3 linked regions of the Tribolium castaneum genome follow. The protein of the gene in region 1 interacts with the protein of each later gene in a biochemical or structural test. Links are inferred from orthologs where the notes say so. Each region holds a gene or a part of one and is shown on either strand. Other genes may lie near its edges. The genes, in order: armadillo segment polarity protein, sgg and casein kinase I.

Region 1 (3,600 bases):
AACTAAATGAGAAAGTGGGTGTCAGTTTATGAGGGAAAATCATAAAAAGCTGGTTACTCGGGAGAAATAATATACCTCAAGAGCTTGTCTGTTCTCTCTTATTTCACTTCATGAATTTTTAAATGAAATTGGAGAATAACTCGGAATAAAGAATTTATGAATTACAATACCTAAAAAGGCAGAAAATAATTAACTTGAGAGCTTAAATTATGGAAAACACCCGATAGCAAGAACAGACTTGTGTGGGCGCAAGAAATAATTTGTCGTCGTGTACAGAATCCAACAAAGTTGGGAGTAATTCTGATTTAAGATAATATAATTCAGAGTCGAGCGTTTTGTCACACCATTTCCATACTTAACTTTCTAAAACTCATTCCAAGTCGTAAGTTTATTATTCACGTTTTTCACATATGAATGCAAATGCGGGGACTTTCATACAAAAGCGTGCAAAGTTTTTAAAAATCTCCACATTCTCAATGAAACAAACAACTTCTATTTTCCCCATTTACAGTGCGCCAAGTTTGCGTTGGCTTAATCCAAAATCCATACTACATTATGTAAACTTTGTTTTCGTCTCACATTACCCAAACAAAGCTTAATACCGCTTCCGTAGTGAATAAATTATTAAGCTTCATAGTCTAGCCTGATAAAATGGCAACGTCGCACTGTGTGAAAAGAAAATTGCAACAGTGTTAATTTTTTAGGTGCTTGGATAAGGGGCATTGCCGATTTACCGGTGACCTTATCAGGTCACGCTGCTATCACTCTTCCTCCCGCCATGCTAATTTCAAACGAATAAGTGATAAAAACAGGAAACAATATTTGATGAATTAAAGATTCCTGTCGTGGGCGTTGAATGAGTGCGGCATCTGATTGGGAGATGGCGCCGCGCTACTTGAAGTACTTTTACACCATAACCATAGTTTAGCTTTAGAAATTATAAATTTAGCGTTTTTTTATACTCTAATGTTGTATTTAAAAATGTTATACACGACCGTACATTTGCTGCTTTTTTGATACATGAAATAAAGATTTTTACCTTAAAATCAATGATTTTTCCCTTTGACATTTCAGCATCTTGTAAACAGGTCTGCCAGCCAATCTGATATTTGTGATTGGGTGCGGTGTTGTTGTGTTCGTTATCGTATATTATCGTAATTTAAAGGGAAAAAGTGATTTTGTGGCGCAAGGTAAGTTATTTCGGTGTAAAATTATCAATTTCATTCATTTGTAAGTGTGAGAGTGAGTTTTTTGTGTGGTTTGGCCAAGTTTTAAAAATGTCGATGAACTGTGTATGACAACATGGATCTCTTTGTGAGTGGGTGATTCTGATTCTGATTTAGTCCGATGTCTGATCGGTTTGTGATTGCAATCTTTGGAAATTGTGATCGTTACACAAACGAAGCGTCTGGTGTTTAATTAAATGTTTCGGTTTGAAAGCACGTAACGATTCCTCATCCGGCAATTCCTTGTCACTGCTCGAAATTCCAATGAGATTGGTCATGAGATTCAGAGAATTCCATGTTTCAGGTGTGGTGTGGTAATTCGCCATGAGTTACTTACAGTCCAACCCGAATAGACCCAGTAAGTTGCATTCTTGTATTTTAATTGTTTGGTGTTAATTAATTATAATCAGTGTGTGAAGGTTTCGTAAACACTTATTGAGAGAGGTTTCCAGTTTGATAAACATCCTTCAAATGTAAGTTTATTCGGTTACAGTCAAAGGTTACAATGAGAATTCCCTTTAAAAACCATTCCAGATGGTGTGTTTATAATTGGATTGTTAGAAGAAGTTTATTTCCTCTGCAATAATTCATTGTTTGATTATTTTCCACTTTTTCTTGTGGAGGTTTCGGTATCTATGACCCCAGTTGTGACTAAGAGCCTATTATTCATACAAATCATACATTCTCATAAAAAAATTAAGAAAAAATTTGTGTATAATACATGGGCTTTCTTTACTCGTTCTAGAGAAATAATCTTTAAGGAAGTACCATACTATTATATTTTATTACAATTTAATAAGCATATTTATTCCATTATTAGTTAGTACAAGATCTTCTCTTACATAGAAATAAAGAGTTCTTAGAGTATATTCAACATTTAGCAAGTATTTGACCCTTTTTTTGACTAGATATCAGTCTAATAAGCCTACAGAACATGATTGTATGAAAATATTGGAGTCGTTTTCCTAAAGTGAAAACTTTTTCTGTGTATTTGGTGATCTTTCCGAAAGTAATTTTGCTGCTATCTCGTATTTTTAGTATCTTTTATTTACATGTATTCGTTCTCCTGAGTAACTTTTTAACCATATATTAGATACGTGGTTAGTATTGGTATGATTCAATGTTTAAATAAAATACAGATATGTTGATAACGATAAGCAATATACCTGAGTAACGGTTTTGTACGCTAACATTGAAAGAAGCAAGTGTTTAACTGTTTAAATTGCAATTGAATTTTCTTACTAACTCTACAAAGTAGGTACAATTTATTTTTGAATTATTACTTATTTGGTTACAGTAGCATAGTTTATTTTAGTTTATTCTTATATTCTAGTTTATTCCTATGAAGTTACAAAATTGATTTATCGTGTATGCCAAAAGTTGCGGACAGGCACTTACGGCTGAACTATCCGAAGAGGAACTGTTCAAGCAAACGCGTAAACGCAAAATTTGTAAGTTCAAATTGCTTGAAAAAAATATGTTAACTTTCTGAGAACTTTAGCAACAATATACATCCATTTGAAAAAAATTGTTAGTATCATTTAAAAATAAAATGAAAAAACCTCAATTTTTAGTCATTTTATTTTTTTAATAAAAAATGGTACTATATTTTTTGATAATTTTTTTTGTGGGTATTTTATGACTTACTTGTAATACTGTATTTTTTCATACTATTTGAACTTTAGGTTTTTCCATAAAAGCATTAAGATTATTACGCTGTTTACCCCGTTATAACTTGGTTACAAATATTTAAATCGAGATAAGAACTGGTCCATGAGTAATATGTTAACCTAGGAACAACATCCAATTGTAAAAAAAAACAATTTTGTTTATTATTTTTCTTAAAAAAATTTCTCAAATTAGTGCATTCGCACGGCCACGTGGACCGTGAGTCCAGTATAGTTCAACCTTAAGAGCTATACAAAAATAAAATTAAATAAAAAGCGATACAAAAATTCACAAAACCTTTCGTTTTGTAAACAAAAGTTGAAATAAAAAACAAAAAGTGACAACGTCGTAAGAGAATACTTTATTGTTACTTATTTAGAAAAATTGTAACCAAAAGTATTATCATAGTAATATTTGTTATTGACTGCACCTTTAAAATTGTGTTTTTAACTCATTTCAAAAACCAAGTGAAATGTTTTCTTACAATTTTTTTGAAAAAAGTTGGATAATAAATCAAGTAAACATTAAAATATACCATTTTTTGTTAGTAACAATTTTACGCCTTCTTTTTAACATTTGAATTCTAGATTACACTATTTTAAAACACGCTTTCTAAAGCAACGTGTTTTAAATTAAAATGTTCCAACAAAAAAATTGAATAACTTTGGCAGCTGTTTGGAAATAAACGGCCAAGTTTTATAGTTAT
Region 2 (5,478 bases), on another chromosome or scaffold:
GAACTTTGCTTTATTTCTAATAATAAATCGTTCCGATTGAATGTTATTCGTTTTTACTACGTTTTAAAACGGTGTAAAATGGAAGTGCGTCATCCCATGTCCCTATCGTACGTTACAATGTAAATTCATGCATGAGAATATTTTGTTTCAGTACACTTCGCACAGTTTCCATCCATGCATGTAATACGAATTCCATTACCAGCATGAGGTGTAGCGTTTTTCTAAACAACTGGGGTCCATCAATCATCGACGTATCTGTTTTAAGATGAATAATTAATCCACAACATTTTCTAAACCAATTATGGACAATTATAAATATGAAACGATTAAGAACCTTCGAATTTTATCAAAGTGTGTCAAGTGCAGCGCTGCATTTTAAATCAAATTCGATTTTAATTTCTAATACATTGACATTTTCAACGATCCAACGGAATGATTAAGCACATGTGTCCGTACTTTGTGGTGTTATTTTACGGCAAATAAATTAGTTTTGTTTAATAAAGAAACAGTTCCGTGTTTTGTTTACTCAAATAATTGACGTTTGTTGAGAATTATCATTGTTTGGATTAACTTTAATTAAATGGTCCGGTTCTAAACTTGAATTTGTTCCCATGACAATCGGAATTGTTTTCCGAAGTAGCAAATGGAAAATTAATGATGTAATAGTCATCAATTTAATTCATAATCCGATCTGCGTTCCCTGTTTTGGTTTATCTCCATTGCGCCTTTGTTTAAGCAATACTTAATTAATCAGATTAATGAACGAGTCAACTTTGATCAGTTATTGTTTGCAAAATTACTCCTAAGACTATTTTTACCCAAATATTGGCGATAAAACCGCGAACATCAAACGGAAATTGGACATTTTCTTGGCAATAACTCAGACGTGTGCCAATGGGTGTGTGAGCGTTTAACAATCCGCGAAGAAGTTGCGAAAAATTCAATTCGGAACAGTTTGTGATTTTTATCGCAGTCGGACGTCTTTCCAACTTTCCCAACTATTTTCTTCACGAAATGGGAAAATAGTCGAGACGTCACACAATCGTCGACGTCAAAGTCTATTTCGCCAAAAAACATATGACGCTTTTGGCATCGATCGATTTTAGTTTCACTAAGTCTATCCCTTCTTGACCTCAACAATTTTTTCGTGCCGTGAACTTGGCCCGTTTGCTTATTTATAGCGCTGTCATTGTTAAATTTTGGTTTTCGTCTTCAATGCTAAAACTTTTAATAGGTGACTATTTCGGTTGTGCACACAGTGTGCTCGTTATATTTAGATTTTGATTGCAAGGGGAAACGACGAAAAGCGAGCACGTGTCGGTGGTACACGTGCCCGACATGTCAACGTGACGATTTTTTTTCCATATTTTATGTTCCCCAAAACGTTGGAGAGATGTAGATAATAATCCGGTTTATCTATTTTTTATCTAATCGGATCTGTTGGTGGGTTTTTCGCTAGTTTCGATCACGGGATCATGTGTGATACGTTTTTAATTCGTCCTCCTACTGTAAATATTTGCCGAGTTGAGAATTATTATTGGAAAGTAAATATCTTCCTCCTCGCCGTGACATTCTACTCCTAGCATTGCTCTCAAGTCTCAAGATCAGTCTTATCCGAATCGTGAGTGCAGGCAGTTGCGTTTATATTGCAATGAAACTCGGATTTGGCGTTTTAATAACAATAAGACGGCGGTCTGCGGTTCGATTCGCCGCTAACGAGATTCATTAAACACCCTGTTGTGCTTAGTGTGCGTATTTGATTTGGAGTGGTTGAGTGGTTAACACCTGTGTTATTTCACTGACCCAATTTGCGAACTATTTCCACGGGAATTGCACACGAAGTTGGAAGAGTCAAGGCATTGCCTTCGATTAAGCGAACTTTTTGATGGATTAAACTTCATTTGAATAAACGTAATACTTCCGACATGGTGTTAAGTACGCGATTATTTGCATGGAATGGAAGAATTCCCAGAGAAATTTCTAATTTTTAGAATTCAAGTGTCAATAACATTTGCGTACCGAGATTAGATTATTTACTTGAATCAAACCAATTAAATTTAATTATTAAAAATTGCTCCAACGTCCCTGGACTAATATAAACAAGTGTAGACCGTGGCCCATTTACTGCGTGGATACGTTATTAAAATCGAGTTAAAAGTATTTGTTTACTGGCAAAAACAATGAGTCAAACGACGTGAGGTGCCTACGATGTGAGATGAAAATAACCGTTTAATTTTTAAAACACTCAATACGTTTTATTTTCACACTATCGATATCACAATAAAATGCTTATTGTGTGATTGTTGCAATAACTGCTATTGAAAGTTATTTTTAAATGTGAAATACGTGTTCGACCTGGTCTTATCTTCGATTTTTTCTGAAATAGCAGTGATTTTGGGTTGCACAGACACAATCACTCCAGTGAGTAACTGGAAATATTTTTATTTTCTCTGATAAAATATTTAATTTATCTATTGTCAAGAAAGAAACCGATATTAACTAAATTGGTTTATTTATTTTACGGAAAGCTATAGCAAATTTATTATGGTCAGTGTACATAACGGCATATGTGATTGTTAGTTTTTGACAACTCTAATAGCTTAGAACAATTTCTCCTAACGTTTTCACAGGCCATTTTTTCGAACAAATTTTTTGAGGTCAAAAAGTCATCTGGTCTTTGTATTCTTATCTATTTTCACGTTATTCTTATTACAGTAAATTATTATAAAAATGTTGTTAATCACTTGTTGAAAAATTTGTGAGAAAATTTTAAGACAATTACATTAAAAAATATATATCTTTGAACTTTAATATCTAGAAAAAAACATCTTTCTTTTTTTTTCTTATTATCTTTAATTTTAATTTCGTTCTAAATTCGCTTTAGACTTATGTGTATTGTTGCCACGTTTTTTTTGTACACCATAAAGTTTTACAGCAGACAATGGTGTTTAAGATAAGCACTTTTCACAATAAGATATTTTGACAAGGGTGACCCGAAAATATTTACGTTACCGATCGGTTTGTCTGAAAAACTACAGACAGTCTGCAATAAATCACACAATAAGCTTGCCTGAGTGATTAGCTTGAAGGGTTTGGGGTAATCATAATAAAAATTTAATGGTGTACAAATAAAATGTTACTACAATAACTCTGTCATTAGACGTTTTTTGGTTCGTTTTAATAAAATTTCAGAAAACCTGAGTTTAGAAATTCAAAAGCAAATTCTAATTTGGTAGTTTTTGACGAAATTCCTTACGCAAAAACAAGATGAATCTAAAAAAAAACGATAATATTATAAAAAAGATTTTCTGATTGTTAAACGTACGAACTAGTTCGATAACGTCAATTTTTTCGTCTATTTACGCGATATTTTGCGTAAAAGTAACCTAAGCATTGAAAAAAAAACAAAAACTATTATTTTTAATTGTTTAGCGATGGGTTTTTAATTTTTTTTAAAGAGATTTTCAAAAAAAATATTCGTTTAATTTTTAAGACAGTTTTTTAGGAAAAAATTTAAGTTCAAAAATCGACCTTCCATCGAAATTTTTCGTTGTATTAGAAGGAAATTTCGCATTATAAGAGATATTAGCTCAAAATATGATAATTTTTGACGTAACTTAATTTTTCGATCTATTTTCGTTTTCATGGTCGTTTTTCAATTTCAAATCCAGGGAAATCTATGATTATTTAGTGTAAAAATGGAATACTGGAGTCACCGTAGCTACAAATTCGATAATTTTGTATTACCAACTTAGGACCCACAGTTTATAAACACTCTCTATGTATTACAGACACTCATGTTTGTGGAATGACATGAGGTGGCCAAAATTCCGCTGTTTACTTCGTCAAAAATGAATTCATAACAAGGAAAATGGATTGAGTTATTTTTGTAATTTTATCAAATTCTCACTCTTCTAATTTTGTGTGGAATTAAACAAGTCCCAATTTATTGTTCCAGTCAAAAACACTTTTCTTTGTTTGTCTGTTCTTAGGTGGTAAAGTAATCCTTGGTATTTGTTTTTTCAGTTTTCAGTCGGCCGTAAATTGCCGTCTAAATATTTACCAAACAGTGCAAAAATACCAATCAGTGCTAATTAAAATACCGCAGGTATCGAACTAATCCGGTATTTTTCTGTTGGCTTTAGATCAGTTCGTATCACGCACCAAACCGCCACAAATCCATATTGTTTTGTGTATTGTTTCGCATGACGTGTCACAGTCATGTAGTGCTTCTTACAAAAAAGTATGTGGATTATTGTTGTGAATTTTCTAACCTTACAAAAACCGGATGGGCGTCTTAGATGCGCATTAAAATCACAAGGATTACCTTGACCAACCCATTTTTCTCAGTAGTACGGGCTGATCGAATCCATGGCGCCCAAAATCGACGAGCCGGGCAAAAATAGCGACTCTAAAGTCGCAAGTGATGCGAATTATGTGGTTAAAAAACAGTGCGAGTGTAAGAAATTGCAAAGTGTTTTGCCCGAAAAGAACAAAAACGCGAGACCTAAGTACGGCAGGTCAGTTTCTGTGTGCGATTTATCTTCGGACAAGCACAAGTCGACCAAGAAAAGTGCGACTTTGGGGTCGGTGCCGGCGATCGATGGACTGGGGAAAAGCCAAAAAACGACGGGCTACTCCAGGTTGTTGTATTGCTGGAGGAAGTTGAAGAGGTCGCTGTCGAGCTCGGGAAGTAAGTAGGAAAATTTTCACGGTGAAAAATCGACAGAATCGGCGCTAATTGAATTATCTCGATTCAATCAAACAAGTGGCGTTTTCAATACTGCGTTAATTTTCACAATGATGCGGCGTCGAAAGTGGACGGAAACAAAACATTGGAAGAAAGTGTTACGGAACATAATCGAGGACAATGATTAGAATCTGACTTTCTTCGCCATTTAACGACGAAAAACGACAACTGTTTCGCGTGTGCGTTTTAACGTTATTGTGTCCCTATGTAAATAAATTTCTCGACAACAAAAAGATTGACTTGTGAGAAATCGCAGTTATTAAGAAAAAATACTACAATGTGCTTATCTCATCAACGAAACAAGTTTATGGACCCGTTCCTTATCGTAATCATTTTTAACTTTCCAAAAAATATTCCATTACGATTTCGCACGGTAGTGTTCTGCTTAAATCAATTACGATTCACTACTAATCGAAATAACAGTCTTACATAACTGTTACACAAAATATTACTTTTTGAACGAGAAAATCCGCAACGCTACAATAATAAGCTTTATGTTGTCGGGATTCATTTAGTGGCAGCCACAAAAGCCCACGCTGGAAGACCCTTTGAGCGAGGCTAAGAATAAATTGTATTGAATTTTTAACGAACAAAAACATTGGCGGTCGAATCAATTTGCGACAGTTTAAAATTTTAGCTCGGGATATAAGTATGTTGCAGAATTACCTTTTGATCATCGGAACCATCTGTTCGTAATAAAACTCCGATAAACAATTTCCTATATACAG
Region 3 (5,565 bases), about 6.0 Mb from region 1:
TCTGACTGCTGGTCATTGCGTTTACAAGTAATTTTTTTCGTTGTATTAAGCAAATGAGTGATTATGTTTTCCAGTGCGAGACTTTTTACAATTCATTTGGGTTCAATCACCCTGCAAGCTGGGGACCCCAACCGAGTGGTTCTCTCAACCTCCACGTCAGTCGCTTTCCCCAATTTCGACCCCCTGACTTTGGAGCACGACATCGGGCTTATTAAACTGCACATGAAAGTGGAACTTTCTGGTACTAACAACCACAAAATTTAATTTTTTGTTTGAGATTAAATCGTAGATTACATACAACCAATCGAACTGGCCGACATTGGGGCCATTTCCGAGGGCAGTGCCGCCATAATCTCAGGATGGGGCCAAACCGCTGACGGTAATTTAATTTATTTGCCAATTATTAACAGAATAAGTTATCAATAATTGTTAGCAACTGCCGGTTTGTCTAACAATCTCCAATACACAAACGTGGTAGTTATATCAAACAATGAGTGTAAACAGACCTACGGTGACCAAATCAAAAACACGATGATTTGTACTGCTGGTAACTTCAATGAGGGCATTTGCACTGTAAGTAAGATAACCGGAGTTTGATAAAATATTAACAGATAATAGGGAGACACTGGTGGTCCGCTGATCCGAGCCAAAGGGGCTGACAATTATGTACAAATTGCCGTTGCTGGATTTTTCAGTCAGAGTGGCTGCGAACAGTTGCACCCTTCGGGATATATCAGGACCGATCTGTACAAAGCCTGGATTCAGAATGTAACCGAAACGATGTAGAAATTGTGATTAATAAATTGTTTAAAACAAATATGAATTTTATTCCATAAAAAATTGACGCTTGCCTAACGCAAATTACTTGTCAGTTTAAAATTGAACAACGATAAAAAAATAGCGACTCTCTATGAATTATTTGATTTTAACTATAAATCTATTTGTAGAAAAAGTTTGATAAAACTAACACGCACTGAAAAAAAAATTATTAGCAAACGCTGTTTTCTGCGTGACTGATAGTTTTTGCGATACGGTAATAGTATTACATTACACAGAGCGTTCAAGTTTTTCTTAAATAAAAATTATTGGCGATTAAACGATTACATGCTACAAATCCTGTTAATTCCTAGATTAACCAAATACTTATCGCCGTAATGTTGCCGATAAAACCGCGGCCAAAATTTAGTCAGTGCAAAAATGAAGCCGTTACTGCTCCTTTTCTCGTTCATTTTTGTGATTTCGGCTAAAAAATCCGTAATTAATCTGCGACGAGTCAACGACAGCGAAAATTTCAATTCCAGACCGCGAATAATCGGAGGAAATGCTGCTGCAAGTGGCCAGTTCCCCTGGCAAGTCGCTATTTACAAAGACACTCCAGACGGCAGATATTTTTGTTCGGGGGCTTTGATTAACGCTCGTTGGGTCTTAACCGCAGCGCAATGTGTCTACGAGTATTAATGTCTCTTATTTTTTCCATAAATTTTCGGATTTTTTTAGGGCTACGCAATTCACGATTCAAATGGGATCGAATCAACTGTCATCAAATGACGAAAACCGAGTCATTGTAACGACCTCCACTTACGTTATTCATGAAGGTTTCGATCCGACAATATCGCTTGCTAACGATATTGCCTTAATTAAATTACGGATGCCTATCACATTCACTGGTAATTAATATTAAAAAAAATCAGTAAAGTTGAGTTTTTTATTAGATTATATCGAGCCCATAATTGTTGCGAATTTTGGGTACTTGTATCCGGGGCGAGTTGTTAAGGCTGCAGGCTGGGGACAAACCAGTGATGGTAATTACTAATTACCATTTTTTATCGTCCTGTTAATTTTTTTTTCGTTATAGAGGACAGTGGGTTGGCAAACAGTTTGAATTTTGTTGAAATCGGAATAATTGAGCAAAACGCTTGCAAAACGTACTTCGGAAATCAACTCGTGGACACGATGATTTGTGCTGAAGGAAATTACAACGAAGGAATCTGTTTTGTTAGTCGAATTACGTGTTAAATTTTCATTGAAGGAACTAATTTTAGGGCGATATTGGAGGACCACTCATAACTTCCGCTGATGTGGGAATAGAACTTTATGTCCATGTGGCTATAGCTAGTTTTATAAGCCAGAATGGGTGCGAAAGCTTGGACCCAACTGGGTATACTCGAGTCGATTCTTTTTACGCATGGATTGATAATGCCACCAGGCATAATTAAATCTACTTTAAAAAAATAAATATGCAATGTTTGTTAATTAAAGTTTTTTCGAAATTTTCAAATTCGAAGGCGACTTGTGCCCCCTTAATTGGATTAGGTGCAAATCTCTCGGTACACATTTATGTTTTGGTTAAATTGCTTTGTTGTAATAAATTAAAATATGAAATTGTGGAAGTGCTGATTGATTTTTGATTTTCCTGCCAGTTCGGTTGTTTGGTTGCCGCTGCGGCGACATTTTGGAGGTCGCTGTGCGTCGTCCCAGAACGCCGTCGGTAACGTGGTAACGGTTCCCTGTAAATTGTTGTCGCCCCTTTGTAAGTCGTCGTTCCCGTCAATTTTCGTCGAATTTTCTGTCATCGTAAAAGTGCGTGACGTTCCAAAATCGCCCCCTTGAAAATCCCACCGATTTGTAAAATTTTTCAGTGTTTAGGTTCGTTCGTGCGACGTCCACAAGAGGGTGCAACTCGTCGTGACGTCACGCACAAGCGATCAGTCAGAGCAATATGTCGGCGTGTTGGTGGAGCAAGTGATAGTTATTGTGTGGAAAAATAAAATAAAAGGGGCATCCAAATTTGTGAGACGACACGCGAAAAGACTCGATTGAAATTAGCACGATGGCGTCGCATTGCATCGGCAAATCGGAGTTTATAGTTGGTGGCAAGTATCGGTTAATTCGGAAAATCGGCAGTGGCTCCTTCGGGGACATCTACTTGGGCATCAACATCACAAACGGAGAGGTAAAGCGGCCGTAAACCGTCCAAATGCGCCTCCAGACGGGCCTACGACACGTCTTAACCTTTAAGTCGTGGCTTTGTTTCGAAAAAACACGAAACCAGTCCGACCACAAATCACAATGGCAGCCATTAAGGCCCCGTCTGGTCGGACCCTTTTCGCCCTCGAAATCGCCCACAATCCTGGCGTTTCGGCCAGGAATGGCCCCAAACGCCGCCACACAAAGAGTCTCTCTTTGTTTCGCGGACGGCCAAAAGTAGGTTAGCGCACCAGGATATGGGCCTCTCTTACGACACATTTCACAATTTTTACGCTCATTTTTACCATTTTTGGGCGCATTTGCGCCCCCATTTCGACGATTCCCATTAATTCGTTTTTTCCGATAGGAAGTCGCTGTAAAACTCGAATCAATTAGAGCAAGACACCCCCAACTCCTCTACGAAAGTAAATTGTACAAAATTCTACATGGTGGCATAGGAATCCCACATATCAGGTGAGCATCCGATGGGACTATACAGGGTGAATCAGACGAAAGTCATCTGCAGATAATTGCGCCGTATTTTGTTTACATAATGAACGGAAGGTTTCGGCGATCCGTATTTACATAAATGCATTATTTGTGCCCATTTTTATGTCGAACCAAAACAACAAATTCTATTTTTTATTCAATGAAACACTCATAAACGGAAACAGTGCTTGCACGTGTTTACTTAATTTTATGTCTACAATACTTCAATGCAATACAACGTTTCAACATTAATTGCTTTATTATGAAACGTTTTTAATTTCACAAACCAGAGTTGAAATACATAATCAAAAGTTTTGATTAAGTTTCAATTTCAGTTTTATGTAAATACTCACGTTGCATGGGTATTTTTTTTAAATTGAGAATACCAATTTAATGCTTATCTTTGCTAAACCATGATCTATGTGATAATTTTTATCGCTAGGTGGAAATTGATGTAAATACTTGTCTGATTCAAATTTTATTAATGAAAGGTACAGCTAACAGGTCGCAGTCACATGAGGTGATTTTTCTGTGATTGTAAGTGGTATTATTTCCTGTTGGTTAATTGTTTTGTGGGTAAGTTGGGTTTGAAAGAAAGAAATGGAAAAATACATTGGCTAGCTTTTAATTAAATGAAGTTCTTGAAGTATACGCACTTAACATTGGTAAGCTACATGTCATTTTTCGCTTATAAATAAAGCCAAAGGTATATCTTGTTTTTTTGCCAAAAAATCGAATTCTGATTTGACATATTCTACATATTGTCGCTTGCACCAACGCTTGCTTGTTCTAAAATGAGAAATAATATATTTTTTCAGCAACTTAATACTAATCTATCAATATTAATTTTAAGGAATGAAAAAAATATCTAAAAAATCGAAATTTTTACATAAATAAAAATTCTTGACATTTTATACATTGGGAAGGTATCTCCCATATTTTTTTGATAATCTTTCATATACAAAGACAAAAATAAACAATAGAATTTTAGACCCGAAAGTCAAATTCTTATTTTTATACAAATCGACGATATTATAAGGGGCTTCAAAAAGATCGGCAATTGGTAAGTAATTCCTTTGGTGGCAAATTATACCATCTAATAAATTACGCGTGTGGTTTGCGTTTAAATAAGTAAGACCGATTATTATTTAACCAACTAAGTATAAATTTCTTATCAGTATACAGTCAGGTGTATACAATTTCCAGAATTTTGTTTCATTCGAAGTGGCGGTTTTCTTGGATAAATAAAATTTCGACAGTTCTAAGTAACTAATAAAAGTCACGATCTGTTGCTTGAGCGTAATAAGCGTTGCCAGTCCCTGTATTGTTTGTTACGGACTTTTAAATATTCGATTTTTTACACTGGTTGCTGTTTTACGTTTTTTTTTTTATTTGGAATGCTTTGTGGGTGGTGTTTTACATAGTTATTTTATTTAAGTCGATATTCATGTTATGAAAAGTAGAATTATAGCCCCGTTTGCGGAATTTTTAGTTATTTTATTTAATTAGTCACCAGTGAAACTGCAGTTTTATGTTACAGTTCTAGCTTTTTATTACATATTACTATTAATCTATTAGCAGCAGGAGCGATTTCTATTTTAGTTTAAATGAATACACCGTCGCTTTCAGCTCATTTTTTATATTAGATCAGTGTCTGGTCATGTTTTTGAGGCAATATGTTTGAAATTTTCGCCTGATTCACCCATCACCCGGTCATAAACTTTCCCCTAAGACACCAGCGGCTTCAAATCGTGTTGATGTTTCGTCACATTCTCGAAAGTAAAGGATTTCGGACGTAATTTATCGATTGTTCAATGAGAATGGAGAGTCGAACGACCGTTACATAAAATTACGAATTTTTTCCTACAATCTGCTTTTGTTGTAAATTATTTATGAGTCACGCCTTTGCAAGTCAACGCGGAATTTTGCTAGATTTCATGACGATTGATATTTAAAATCACCGTCGACCTTATCGCAGTGACTTCCGGTGGTTGACCACATTAACTCACTTATTCGGCGAAATATCTTTAAATTAAGACCCGATGCGCACTTATTTAGCGCGTTATCTTATCGTGGCAATTTGTAAATAAAAACAAGAGTGACGTGGAT

Evidence for each region.
Region 2: of the proteins of armadillo segment polarity protein (region 1) and sgg, one has a biochemical effect on the other in vitro, tested with the Drosophila melanogaster proteins (2 studies listed by BioGRID). The link is inferred for Tribolium castaneum from reciprocal best matches to the Drosophila melanogaster genes arm and sgg.
Region 3: of the proteins of armadillo segment polarity protein (region 1) and casein kinase I, one has a biochemical effect on the other in vitro, tested with the Drosophila melanogaster proteins (2 studies listed by BioGRID). The link is inferred for Tribolium castaneum from reciprocal best matches to the Drosophila melanogaster genes arm and CkIalpha.

Annotation. Positions count from the first base shown.
Region 1 is NC_087395.1:16,174,575-16,178,174, forward strand, and holds the start of armadillo segment polarity protein, read left to right. Parts: upstream 1-1,065; 5' UTR 1,066-1,190; intron 1,191-1,225; exon of another isoform or gene 1,226-1,314; intron 1,315-1,530; 5' UTR 1,531-1,550; coding exon 1,551-1,584; intron 1,585-1,636; exon of another isoform or gene 1,637-1,699; intron 1,700-2,369; exon of another isoform or gene 2,370-2,480; intron 2,481-3,600. Other genes in the region: uncharacterized protein LOC660622, read left to right, coding at 705-799. UniProt on the Drosophila melanogaster protein: Isoform neural may associate with CadN and participate in the transmission of developmental information. Can associate with alpha-catenin.
Region 2 is NC_087402.1:5,757,122-5,762,599, forward strand, and holds the start of sgg (glycogen synthase kinase-3 beta), read left to right. Parts: upstream 1-1,468; 5' UTR 1,469-1,621; exon of another isoform or gene 1,622-1,911; intron 1,912-4,350; 5' UTR 4,351-4,371; coding exon 4,372-4,693; intron 4,694-5,478.
Region 3 is NC_087395.1:22,152,884-22,158,448, forward strand, and holds the start of casein kinase I, read left to right. Parts: upstream 1-2,462; 5' UTR 2,463-2,580; exon of another isoform or gene 2,581-2,639; 5' UTR 2,640-2,830; coding exon 2,831-2,953; intron 2,954-3,334; coding exon 3,335-3,441; intron 3,442-4,007; exon of another isoform or gene 4,008-4,032; intron 4,033-5,565. Other genes in the region: serine protease 27, read left to right, coding at 1-27, 75-241, 290-379, 434-573, 619-783, 1,168-1,451, 1,498-1,667, 1,713-1,802 and 2 more. UniProt on the Drosophila melanogaster protein: Casein kinases are operationally defined by their preferential utilization of acidic proteins such as caseins as substrates. Can phosphorylate a large number of proteins. Negative regulator of wg signaling.